Oryctolagus cuniculus: one gene and its partner. The main gene of each other region encodes a partner of the protein of the gene in region 2 in a complex. Links are inferred from orthologs where the notes say so. Each region holds a gene or a part of one and is shown on either strand. Other genes may lie near its edges.

Region 1 (6,439 bases), on a different chromosome or scaffold from region 2:
TTCTTTTAAAAAGGGTAATTAACCCAAACTTTGTAACATGCAAGGGAAAATGACCTATTTTCTATTGTCATACAATTTTTGTAATACAGAATGACAAAAACATAAATCAAAAAGTAAGTTTCAGTTTTAAACAAGTCTCAGTGAAAATATAATCAAGCAAATATAAAGATGCTAAAAAATGGTTTTTTAATTACAAATACCATCTCAGTGTTATATCTCCCTTTGTTGGATGAAAGAATACATTTCTAAAACAATGCTACTACTTAAGAAATAAAACAGGTAGGACCTTTCCATCTTTTCCTTGTTTAATCTGAATTTGTGCATTTGTGCAGGGTCTTTTGATAGATGTTTTGGTGGGAGACCGCTGATCCAGTTCCTTAGGTGCTTGGCCACTCAATGAAATCTTGTTTCCCATGATTACATGAGATTTGTTCTGGGTGCAACTTTCCTGCTGCGTTTCAGATTGGACAAATTTGAGAAGCTCTATTTTTGTATCATGAGTTCCTTGGGCCAAACCGAAATCTACCAAGGCATACCTAAGAAACAAAATTAAGCATTTTTACTCCTTTTTAACAATTAAAGCTTTCAATACTCTCAACCACATGCATACAGAAACTACAATTCTTTTCAGGATCAATTAAGAATGAATAGTGTCCGGCTGGTGCCGCGGCTCACTTGGCTAATTCTCCGCCTGCGGCACCGGCACCCCGTGTTCTAGTTCCAGTTGGGGTGCTGGATTTTGTCCCGGCTGCTCCTCTTCCGTGCAGCTCTCTGGTGCAGCCCAGGAAGGCAGTGGAGATGGCTCAAGTACTTGGGCCCTGCACCTGGCTCCTGGCTTTGGATCGGCGCAGTGCACCGGCAGTAGCAACCATTTGGGGGGTGAATCAATGGAAAAAGGAAGACCTTTCTCTCTCTCTAATTCTGCCTGTCAAAAAAAAAAAAAAAAAAAAAGAAAGAAAGAAAGAAAGAACAGTGTTCAAGAAAAAAAAATACATTTTACAAAGCAAGGATTTAACACCAAGGTAGAATTGAAAATTAAGAAATGATATAGGGGCTGGCGCTGTAGCATAGCAGGTAAAGCCACCACCTGCAGTGCCGCCATCCCATATGGGCGCCTGTTCAAGTTCTGGCTGCTCCACTTCTGATTCAGCTCTCTCCTATGGCCTGGGAAAGCAGAAGATGGCCTAATTGCTGGGCCCCTGCAACCCTGTGGGAGGCCTGGAGGAAGCTCCTGGCTCTGGGTCAGATGAGCCCAGTTCCAGCTGTTGAGGCCATTTGGGGGTGAACCAGAGGATGGAAGACTTTTCTCTCTCCTTCTCTCTGCCTCTGTGTAACTTTGTCTTTCAAATAAATCTTAAAAAAAAAAAAAAAAAGAAATTATATATTCCAGGAGCTGGCACTATGGCTTAGCAGGCTAAACTGCTAACTGCAATACTGGCATCTCCTACGGGTGCCCCAGTTAAAGTCCCAGCTGCTCCATTTTGTTCCAGCTCTTTTTTTTTTTTTTTTTTAAGATTTATTTATTTGAAAGAGTTACACAGAGAGAGGAAAGGCAGAGAGAGAGAGAGGTCTTCCATCCGATGGTTCACCCCCAACTGACCATATGGCCGGAGCTGTGCCATTCCGAAGCCAGGAGCTTTTCCAAGTCTCCCACATGGGTGCAGGGGCCCAAGGATATGGGCCATCTGCTGCTACTTTCTCAGGCCATAGCAGAGAGTTGGATTAGAAGTGAAGCAGCTAGGTCTCTAACCGGTGCCCATATGGGATGCCGGTGCTTCAGGCCAGGGCATTAACCCACTGCGCCACAGCGCCAGCCCCTCAAGCTCCCTAATATACCTAAGAAAAGCAGTAGAAGATGGTCCAAGTGTTTGGGTCCAGGGTCCCTGCCACCTGCATGGAAGACTCAGATGGACTTCTAGGATACTAGCTTCAGTCTTGCTCAGCTCTGACTATTGTGTCTATTTGGAGAACAAACCAGCAAATTGAAGATGTTTCTCTCTGTCTCTTCCTCTCTCGGCTCTTTCATATAAATAAAATAAATCTTAAAACAAAAAAGAGAAAAAGAAATGACACACTCCACAGTCAACTGCTTTTCTCTCTCTTTTCCAGTGGCCTATGTTAATGGGGCAATATAAATACAATGCTTTATTCTCTGATCGTGGCACAGATGGCATCACAGCAGGTAATTTCTAATAAAACAAGTTTAAAAGAGAAGTTGAAATAATGGTTTTAACATATGACTTAATTTTTAAAAACTAAAGGAGTGGGCATTTAGCACCGAAGTTAAGCTGCTGCTTGGGATATCTTTTGCATGCCCTATCAGAGTACTTGGTTTAAGTCTCAGCTCTGCTCTCCATTCCAGCTTCCTGCTAAAGTACACCGAGGTAGGCAGCAGGGGTATGGTTCTAGTACCCAGGTCCCTGTCACTCATGTGGGAGAACCAGATTAAGTTCTCAGCTCCTGGTTTTTTGGCCTGGCCCAGCCCCAGCTGTTATAAGCATTTGGAGGGTAAACTAGTGAATGGGAAACCTCTGTCTCCCTGTTTCTCTGCCTTTCAAATAAGTAAAAATAAAAAATTTACTCTATAGGGGTGAAATGGTCATTTTTCCATTCAATTATTCTGTATAGCTATTGTCTATAGTCACACTAAGCTCAGGTCTTTTTGCTTTTTACTTGTTAAACTTTTTTTTTTTTCCTTGTACTTGAAAGTCACAGTTACACAGAGAAGGAGAGGCAGAGAGAGAGAGGTCTTCCATCTGCTGGTTCACTCTCCAACTGACTGCAACAGCCGGAGCTGCGCCGATCCAAAGCCAGGATCCAGGAGCTTCTTCCAGGTCTCCTACATGGGTGCAAGGTCCCAAGGACTTGGGCCATCTTCTACTGCTTTCCCGGGCCTTAGCAGAGAGCTGGATTGGAAGCGGAGCAGCCAGGACTCGAACCGGCAGCAGGCGGCCCTACCCGCTATGCCACAGTGCCAGCACCTTGTTAAACTTCTTATTCAGTGAAGTATTAAACCTTTTTACTGTAATGTAAATTTAAAATATGTATCTCAAAAACTAAAAAAAAGAATAAAAGGGCAAAGAAAGGAGGGTGGAAAGGTGACAGGGGAAAAGAGAGGGAAAGGGAGAAGGAGGGAATATCACTATGTTCTTAGAATTCTATCTACACAGCACACTGAATCTGTTAAAAATAATTAAGAAAAAAAAATTTTTAAAAAGAAAAAGAAAAATCATGGCTATAAAATCCCAACAAACAAGTTACACTCTTAATCTTGTTACCATATTCAATATGATATACTATATAAACAGCAGCATTTAAGTTATTTTATTCCTCTATGTATATAATTAGCATAAAAAGTATACATAAAAATAGAGCTTTAATGTTTAAACAGGAAACTGGTTATTATGTGGTTTAATTCCTCATTTATTAGAAAAGAAAAATGAAGTCATGTGTAAATTCAAAGATTATAAGTTTCTTAACTAAGAGTTATTTACTCTAAACCACAGTTCCTCTAATGATATACACTGCTTTACTAATACAAAGTTATCTTCTCTGCATTTTCCTTTCCTAATCACAAAGAAAGAAACGATTTGGACGTGACTGCTGAAGTGTATGTCTAAGGGCTGGACCCTATCACACAAATTCATTGAAGTGAAAGTATTATCTAGGAACTCTTCATACTCACTTTTTCAGGCGTCTATTATATAAAAAATTGCTGGGCTTAACATCACGGTGAACAATACCAAACTGGTGAATGCGTTTCAAAGCTCTGAACAGATTAAACATGTATTCCCGTACTTCTTGAAAGGAAAGAGAATTCAAAATGTCCTAAAATAAAGTTATAAATAGGGTCATAAGATAGTTTTCAATTAAATATTTAGCTAATAAAAATTCAAGAAATATTAAAACTTACCAAAAAAGACTCATGTTCTAGGTATGGCATAGCAATAACAACATGATCATTTTTCCTAAAGCAATATTTAACTCCCATGACGTTGTCTTGCCCCCTAGTGGAAAAAAGTTCAGTGAGCTTTAGAGGAAAGATCAAACTGAATCATTACAGCTTAATCTTTTTTTAAAAAAATATAACTTTAACAATGCATGCATGCAGTATAAAACTGACTTAAATCATCACAAGATAGTATAACATTTAACTCACTTGGATAAGAAAGCAAGCATTCTTTTAAAATAAAAATTGTTATCAGCTATGAGGTCACTATAATAATTCAAATATGAGGTAATTAGAAGTGGCGAAAAAAGAAGGAAAAGATAAACAAGAATGAATTGAGATTTGGTAGCAGATAAGATGGTAAGAATAGTACGTTCATTCCAGGTAACATTAATTGAACACTTACTACACAACTAGCTCTGATCTAAGTACTTCGTATCTACCACAACAAATTCACTTACTCTCCAAAGAAACCCTACGAGGAAGGTGCTACTATTTCTTTCCATGTTCACAGATGAAGAAACAGGCACAGAGAGGTTAAAGAACTTGTCCAAGGTCATTAAACTAGTAAGTCTCGGAGCCACGACTTAAAAAAAAAAAAAAAAAAAAAAAAAAAACTTTTAAAATTATTTAGAGAGGCACAGGAGAGAGAGATACAGACAGAGGGAGAGCTCGTTCACCTCCCAGATGCCTACAAGGGCTGGGGCTGTGTCAGGCTGGGACTCAGTCTAGGCCTCGCATATAGGTGGCAGGGACCCAAGCACTTGAGCCATCACCTGTTGCCTCCCAGGGTGCACTTTAGCAAGAAGCTACAATTGGCAATGGAGATGGACTCAAACCCACGCACTCCAACATCGGAGGCAAACATCTCAACCAGCACCTTAGTCACGAGGCCAAAACTTGCCCCTTGAGTTACAAGTTGAATCCTGTTAGTTTATTCCTAACCAATGTTCTTAATCACAATGTTTCTTAACGGGTAAGGAAAATGGAATAATGTTGATTTCCATGATTTTGATACTGACTGTAATAAGTAGATGCCAAAAAAATTAAGTAAAACAAGCAAACAAACAACACCAACAATTCATCATTTTAAAAGAAAAATTTAGATATGGGACTAAATATTTTAAATTTTTTAAAGATGTATTTATTTATTTGAAAGGCAGAGTTATATATAGAGAGAGACATCTTCCATCTGCTGGTTCACTCCCCAGATGGCAGTGATGGCCAGGGCTGGGCCAGACAGAAGCCAGGAGCCAGGAACTTCATCTTGGCTTCCCACATGGGTGGCAGGAGTCTAAACACTTGGGCCATCTTCTACTGTTTTTCCCAGGCCATCAGCAGGGAGTTGTATTGGAAGTGGAGCAGCCAGGATATGAATTGGTGCCCGTTCGGGATGCTGGCACTACAGGTGATGGCTTTACCAGCTATGCCAATACCCGCCCCAATCTTTTTTTCTTAATATTTTATTTATTTCTTTGAAAGACAAAGTTAGAGAGAAAAGGAGAGACAGAGATCTTCCATTTGCTGGTTCATTCCCCAGATAGCCACATGGCCAAGGCTGGGCCAGGTTAAAGCCAGGAGCAAGGAGATTTTTCTGGGTCTCCCACATGGGTGGCAGAGGCCCAAGCACTGGGGCCACCTTTTACTGCTTTCCCAGGCCATCAGCAGGGAGCCAGATTGGAAGTGCAAATGGGCACCCATATAGGATGCCAGCACTGCAGGCGGCAGCTTAATTGGCTACATCACAATGCTGGCCCCCAGGACTAAATCTTAACTGGGAAGTCAAGCGAGAAAACTTACAAAGAAGCAATATCCAAAAGCTGTGAACATAAACAGAGAAGAGAAAATGAGTTTTGGAAAAAGTCTCATGGTAAAAAGTAAAAATAAGGAAGGATAACAAAGTAAGGAGTTGGAAAGGAGCCCCCAAAATGGAGGTCAGAGGATAAGGACTGAGTAAAGGCTTTTGGAGTGACAGGGAAACTAGTAATTTTTCTAAAAGCAATTAAATGGAAAGAAAGAAGCAAAATAGGAGTTAAGGAAAGCAACCAGGATAGTGTTCAAAGCAGAGCACAAAGACAATTTGCCAACTGCATTGCAAGACCAGAGGAAGACGTTTTTAGCATGCACATTTCTGAAATGCAGAGAAAGGAAAAAGGGGTAGAGAGACACCAAGTACAGAGAAGGGTGAATCAAAGAAACAGGCTCATTCTTTTATTGATTTAATAAGAAATTAGTGGGCACTATTATTTGGAGACACTATGTTAGACATGGGGAATGCAATGATAAGTAAAATTAATACAATTTCTGTCCTCAGAGAACTTAACTATCTAGTAGAACAATGGGCAACAAACAAGATGATAAATAATGGACTACAGTACGGGGCTTAGAAAAAGCCTAAAGTTCCTACATACACACACACACACACACACACACACATATATCAATATAGGAGAATCAAATTTAATCCAAGGCATCTTTGAAACAATGTCA
Region 2 (5,682 bases):
TCAAGAGAACCCAAAGTTTCACATCTACCCTGCAAAGGAATCTTTGTAGACTCCTACTTTTGAAGGTACCTTGCTATGTTAAAGACTTGTGTCCTTTTGTGAGTGGATATAGAAACCAAGGTATAATTATAAGTGCTATTAGAGAATTAAGTGCCACTAGAAAAGAATTTTTTAATTAATTTAAGTTTTTAAGAATCATCTTCTCTGGGTAGACACAATGCCTAAGATACATAGGCTGGGCCTTGGTAAAAAAAACTTACAAAAGCACTGACCTCTAGGTGAATGTACTCATTGCCAGGACAATTATATGCTGCAACTATGCTGGATTTCTATCAGCTTTGATCCTATAGGCTGAGTACCCACCCCATAATGCAACCCAATGCAAATGCCATGTGATAGTCCTGCTTCAGTTTATAGCACCATTCAAACAAACTGCAACCTAAACATTTCGTAAAAGCTGATTATTCATTATGAAAATCTTACAGTGTTCAGTCCAATATCCAAAGTATTTACCAACTACTAGAGGGTTCAGCTTCAGTCTCCCACCCCCACCTTCATTAAATACCAGGGAAGCAAAATGATACAAATAATTGTGGTGCAAACATAACTGCAAATTGAGGAGACTCACTGTAGAGTCAAAGATTAATATAGCAAGTTTACCTTTTAATTATTCTGGATTTGGGGGACATACAGATATTAACTTAAGGAAAAAACCCTTCAAATTATTTTCTAAGTTTCTAGATTTTTAGAACACTCTCTATAAAACTTGACATCAATTCAGAGATACACATGTTCATTTGTGACAGAAAATGCTACAATAGTGATCTACAACTAAAACAAGCTTTGCTTATATGCACTGTAGACTCTTTCATTGATCCTACCTAAGGAACTGGTAAGAATAATCAAGTTGTTGAAAAGCCAGTATTCTCACTGGTAACCTGCAATGGTTAACATAATACAAGTGTACTGAAAGAAATGGAAATGCTCTTTCCATGTATAAGAAAGTATGCAACTAATTCTATATTGGGAGCCATATACGATTTCAAAAATTTACAACTGTTAACTAAAGTTAATTTTTAGTGACAATGTATTCATGTGATATTCAATGGCACCAATTTTCTACCATGAAAAAATGCCACTGTTATTGCCTTCTATCTTCTGATAAAAAGATAAATTGCTGTTATATGTGTATTTATTCCAAAATATTGTACAGGCAAGTGGTAGAGCAAAGCAATTCTGATACAGATTTCAAAACTCTATCTGCAATTCAATACCATCCTTTTTCTCTCAACACTAAGTTAGAAGAAGCATAATGAGTCACTACTCTCAAAGTTATTTCCAAAGGTAAATAATTAAGAATAGCACAAGAGCTATAGTCCACATTGCAGCTGGTTAAGTTTTTCCTTCATGGCTTCTATTTACCCTACAGATAATCTGTCAGTTACAAAACACTAACCTGACCCAACTGAGTCACAATGACGTCCAAAATTCTAACAGAAATTAACACATCTTTTCCTTTTCCATGAAATGTTTTTAATTTGCAGATTTTTAATAATGCCATGTTATCATAAGAATCTATTGTAATGGACAATAAGTGTAACTTAAAATATCCAAATTTATGTTGATACATTTTTAATATTCTCAAACTCAAATTTTAGTGGCATACAGCAAACTATATTTTTCATTATAATTCTCACAAAATAATTATGAACACAGTAAAATATGACAAAGTGAAAAGTTTATAATTTTCCTAATATATTAAATTCTGTAGAAAATTGGAAACATCACCTTTATTAATATTTACATTTGGTTCTGTAAACAAAGGTAGCCAAAAACTCCTAAGAATTTTTATATATATTTCTAAAATAGATTTCAAGAATTTGATCTATGTGACTTTCGAAAAATACACATCCTTTAAAGTCTAAAAGCCAGTAAATGTAGAATTTGAGGGGGAAGAAAAAAACATCGACAACAGATTATTAGAATTTTCCTCTTCCCAAATATCTAAAACATCACATACACCACTGTTTTCAGTATAACTTGTGAAACCCATAAATTCTGACTTCTCCTCACTAGTCTGAAATAAGTCCAGTAGAGACTGTACTGGTGAACTACAGATTCTGTTTTCTTCTTGTGTAATAAGAAATTCAGTTCTCTTCTTATCCAATTCAGCATTTGGCTCCAGATTTTCTTTTTTATTTCGTCCTAATAACATTTTCACTTTTCGACGTATTTTACAAGAACGTAAACTATCCACATTTTTGATGTCACATTCACTGGGTTCTTCACCAGGATGAGGGGATTGAGTCTTTGCCTGAACTGTTAGGTGCTCTTGTGAACTGTTGATTGTTCTCAGATCAGAACTGTGACCAAGTAATGAATGAAGTTCCTTTTCCTTCAGATTCTTTGTTGGAAAATTCACAGTATCTGAGTTCTGTTTTGGTTGAGCAGCACTATTTGCACTGAAAACAGAAACTTGTATAGAAGTCTGTAGCCTACAAGGACAGTGATCTACCCCTAGCTCTTCTAAGTCGTTTTTACTTAATTTAGTATCAGAAATGTCAAGAATGAATTCCTGTTTATTTTTATGTGGAGGTAGCTGTGTAAAATTTTGTTTTGTATCATTTTCAGCTGTATTTAACATAGGACTCATTTTTTCATTGAGTTCTCTCAGTTCATTTGAAGCGCTGTGGATGGGTTCTGAAATCAACACAAGCTTTTGTTCAGGTTCCTGAGTTTCTTCACACAGGAAATTCTGCTCCATCACCTGTATCTTACTCTCTCTCAAGTCTTTCTGAGAAATATGCTGCAATTGTAGCTTTTGCTTTGGTTGAGTCTTTTTCAGGATATTAGCAGAAACAGGAGAAAAGGATCCAATACTGTATTTTATTCTTTGTAGAAAAAAAATTAAAATATTTGCTATCAAAACAAAATCTTGTTAGAAACAGAATTAGCAAAAATATCTTAAAACTATTTAAGAAACCTACCTAACTTAGAAAATATCACAAAAGCACAGAACTCAACATTTTGTCTAATTTATTTTTAAGATGTTTTTAAAGTAATCAAGACTTTACAGATACAGCTGAAAATTCTTCTCACTCTTTTCCACATTCTTCACTCTCCACCCCAAAGTTATCAAATATCCTGAACTGGGTGCTTAAAACTAGTTTAATCATGTACAGTCAAGAAAAATGATAGTAAATGAATTTGGGCCTGCTCTTAATTTTGCTCTCATGATTCTGAAAAATTTCTTTACTTCTGTACTTTTGATTTGTATTAATGAATATTTTACTCTTCTTATTTAGCATTGTGGAAAATTGAGTATTTATTGAGAAATCAAAGGTAGAAAATACTTATTATTTAAGAATAAAATGAGAACTTAAAATGTTTATACTTCTAAAGATGGCACATATTTAACCTGAAACCCTTTTCTTTATAGTGTCTTGATATCCTTGTGATGGTCGTTTTATGAAACAATCTATACAAATACAGAAGTTAACAGCTCACCAACTATGTTTTATGTTATATATAACACAAATAATAATGATAAATGTAATACAATTTTGTCTGCCCCTTCAATCAGAATGGTTCCTGATTTGGGTCCCAGCTGCTCCACTTCTGATCCAGCTCCCTGCTAATGGCCTGAGAAAGCACCAGAAGATGTCTTAGGTTCTTCAGCTCCTGCTACCCATGTGGGAGACCCAATGAAGCTCCTGACTCTGGCCTGGCCCAGCCCTAGCCATTGCAGTCATCTGAGGAGTGAACCAGTGGATGAAGGATCCTTCTCTCTGTCTCTCCCTCTCTAACTCTGCCAGCTTTCAAATAAATCTTTAACGGGGTGTAGGGAGGCTGCAGGAAGTCAAAATTAATATAAGTATCTTTATAAATCAAAATAAATACCATTAGTCTAAAATAGATCTAAAGACAGAATAACTTATTGAATCATCACTAACTCTAGGTACAGGGGTATCCATTTAGTGAGCATCACCCTTTAATCTCAATAATAATCTAATTAGGACCATTTTCCTTAATCAGTATGTAGTCATTGTACATTGACTAAACTGTATTTTCAGTTAAAAGTCCTGTTGGGAATCACTGTGCACTTACTCTCCATGTAGGACCTCTGTCCTTAATGAGTTGTACTATGAGAATTAACTACAAAACTTGTTTTCAAACAGTACTTCATACTTTGTGTGTTTGTGTGGGTGCAAACTGGAAATCTTAGAATAGAGTTGGTCTTCTGTATATAAAGTTAATTAAAAAATGAATACTAATTAAGAATGGGATGGGAGAGGGAGCAGGAGGTGGGATTGGAGTGGGGGTGGGAGGGTGGGTATAGGGGGAAGAACCACTATATTCCTAAAGCTGTACCTATGAAATTTGTATTCATTAAATAAAAGCTTTCTTAAAAAATTTAAAAAATAATTAAAAAAAAATCCTGTTGGTACCTTTAGTAATTACCAGCAAAGAGAGTGTATTATTTAGTGAAAGTAAAAAATAAGGCTTCATAGAGGAAGGTTAAAGAAGGTTCCTTAAAATCCCTTAAAATTAATTAAAAGTTTCAAGCCTCTTATAAATAGAAGGTAAACTTTATTGTTCTAGACTAAGAGTAAGCAAACTATTCAAACTGTGGGAAAATCTAGCCTTCAGTCTATTTTCTAAATAAAGTTTTACTGCAACACAGCTACACCCATTGTGGCATAAAAGCTGAATATTTAACAAAGATCTTATGGTTCACATAACATTATATTTTATTTTTAAAGATTTATTTATTGATTTGAAAGCCAGAGTTACAGAGACAGGGAGATTGAGAGATTGAGAGATTGAGAGAGAGAGAGAGAGATATCTTCCATCTGCTGGTTCACTCCCCAAATGACAACAGCCAGGGCTGAGCCAGGCTGAAGTCAGGACCCTGGAACTCCATCTGGGTATTCCACCTGATGGCAGAGGCCCAAACACTTGGACCATCTTCTGCTGTGTTTCCCAGGCCATTAGCAGGGAGCTGGATGGGAAGTGAAGCAGGCAGCAAAAAAACCAGCACCCATATGGGATGCTGCCATCATAGGCGGCAACTACCTGTTGTCACGATGCTGGCTCTGACCTTAAAAACAGCTGGCTCTTCAGAAAAAAATTTTACCAACCTTCTTTTAAATGCCAGTGTCAAGAAGGAGACTATAAATAACCTGCTGTAAGCACGTTAGGTAGCAGGGGGAGGAGAGAAGGGAAGTTATTAGTTATTGACCATATGCACATTCTCAAAGTAGAAATTCCAAAAAGAGGCAAACTTTGGAATTATTTTCAGGTTAATCAAACAGTTTAATATTCTAGTAGGATTTAAATTACCTCTTTTTTTTAGGCGTGTCCCTTTCATATTCCATAAAATCAAAAACTAACTTGGATATGATATCATCAACAACTTGATAGTGATTACTCTGTGCAAAGCTTCTGTGTTGCTCACTTAGGAGATGCTAAAACAAAAGTAAAAAACATGTCATTAAATTATATTTCTAAATAAAGAGATGCCCCCTTTTTGATTCAGGCTTTCAAACATTTTCATGCCCCTAAAATTAAATTTCCAATAATTATTCCAAAGAATAAGAAGAAGATGTTAAAAGTTCTCAGAAACCACTAAACTACTTTCTGTTTTCCATCTTTCAGTAAGAACAGTACTAATTTATAGTT

The links.
Region 1: the proteins of DBF4 (region 2) and CDC7 are in contact, whole or in part, in a crystal structure (PDB 6YA8), measured with the Homo sapiens proteins. The link is inferred for Oryctolagus cuniculus from reciprocal best matches to the Homo sapiens genes DBF4 and CDC7. Residues at the interface, in NP_006707.1 of Homo sapiens: Thr210, Arg211, Thr212, Gly213, Arg214, Leu215, Lys217, Pro218, Phe219, Val220, Lys221, Val222, Glu223, Asp224, Met225, Ser226, Gln227, Leu228, Tyr229, Arg230, Pro231, Phe232, Tyr233, Leu234, Leu236, Met239, Pro240, Ile242, Asn243, Tyr244; in NP_001127891.1 of Homo sapiens: Asn56, Val57, Phe58, Ala77, Gln78, Leu79, Gln80, Ile87, Ile93, Pro94, Thr95, Ser96, His97, Pro98, Ile99, Arg100, Ile101, Ala102, Leu105, Gln106, Thr109, Lys121, Tyr122, Cys123, Phe124, Arg125, Asn127, Asp128, Val130, Leu143.

What each region holds. Positions count from the first base shown.
Region 1 is NC_091438.1:79,102,535-79,108,973, forward strand, and holds part of CDC7 (cell division cycle 7-related protein kinase), read right to left. Parts: intron 4,008-6,439; coding exon 3,914-4,007; intron 3,829-3,913; coding exon 3,686-3,828; intron 3,227-3,685; exon of another isoform or gene 2,710-3,226; intron 2,183-2,709; exon of another isoform or gene 2,110-2,182; intron 537-2,109; coding exon 287-536; intron 1-286. UniProt on the Homo sapiens protein: Kinase involved in initiation of DNA replication. Phosphorylates critical substrates that regulate the G1/S phase transition and initiation of DNA replication, such as MCM proteins and CLASPIN.
Region 2 is NC_091447.1:47,448,220-47,453,901, forward strand, and holds the end of DBF4 (protein DBF4 homolog A), read right to left. Parts: intron 5,469-5,682; coding exon 5,344-5,468; intron 2,892-5,343; coding exon 1,922-2,891; 3' UTR 1,511-1,921; downstream 1-1,510. UniProt on the Homo sapiens protein: Regulatory subunit for CDC7 which activates its kinase activity thereby playing a central role in DNA replication and cell proliferation. Required for progression of S phase.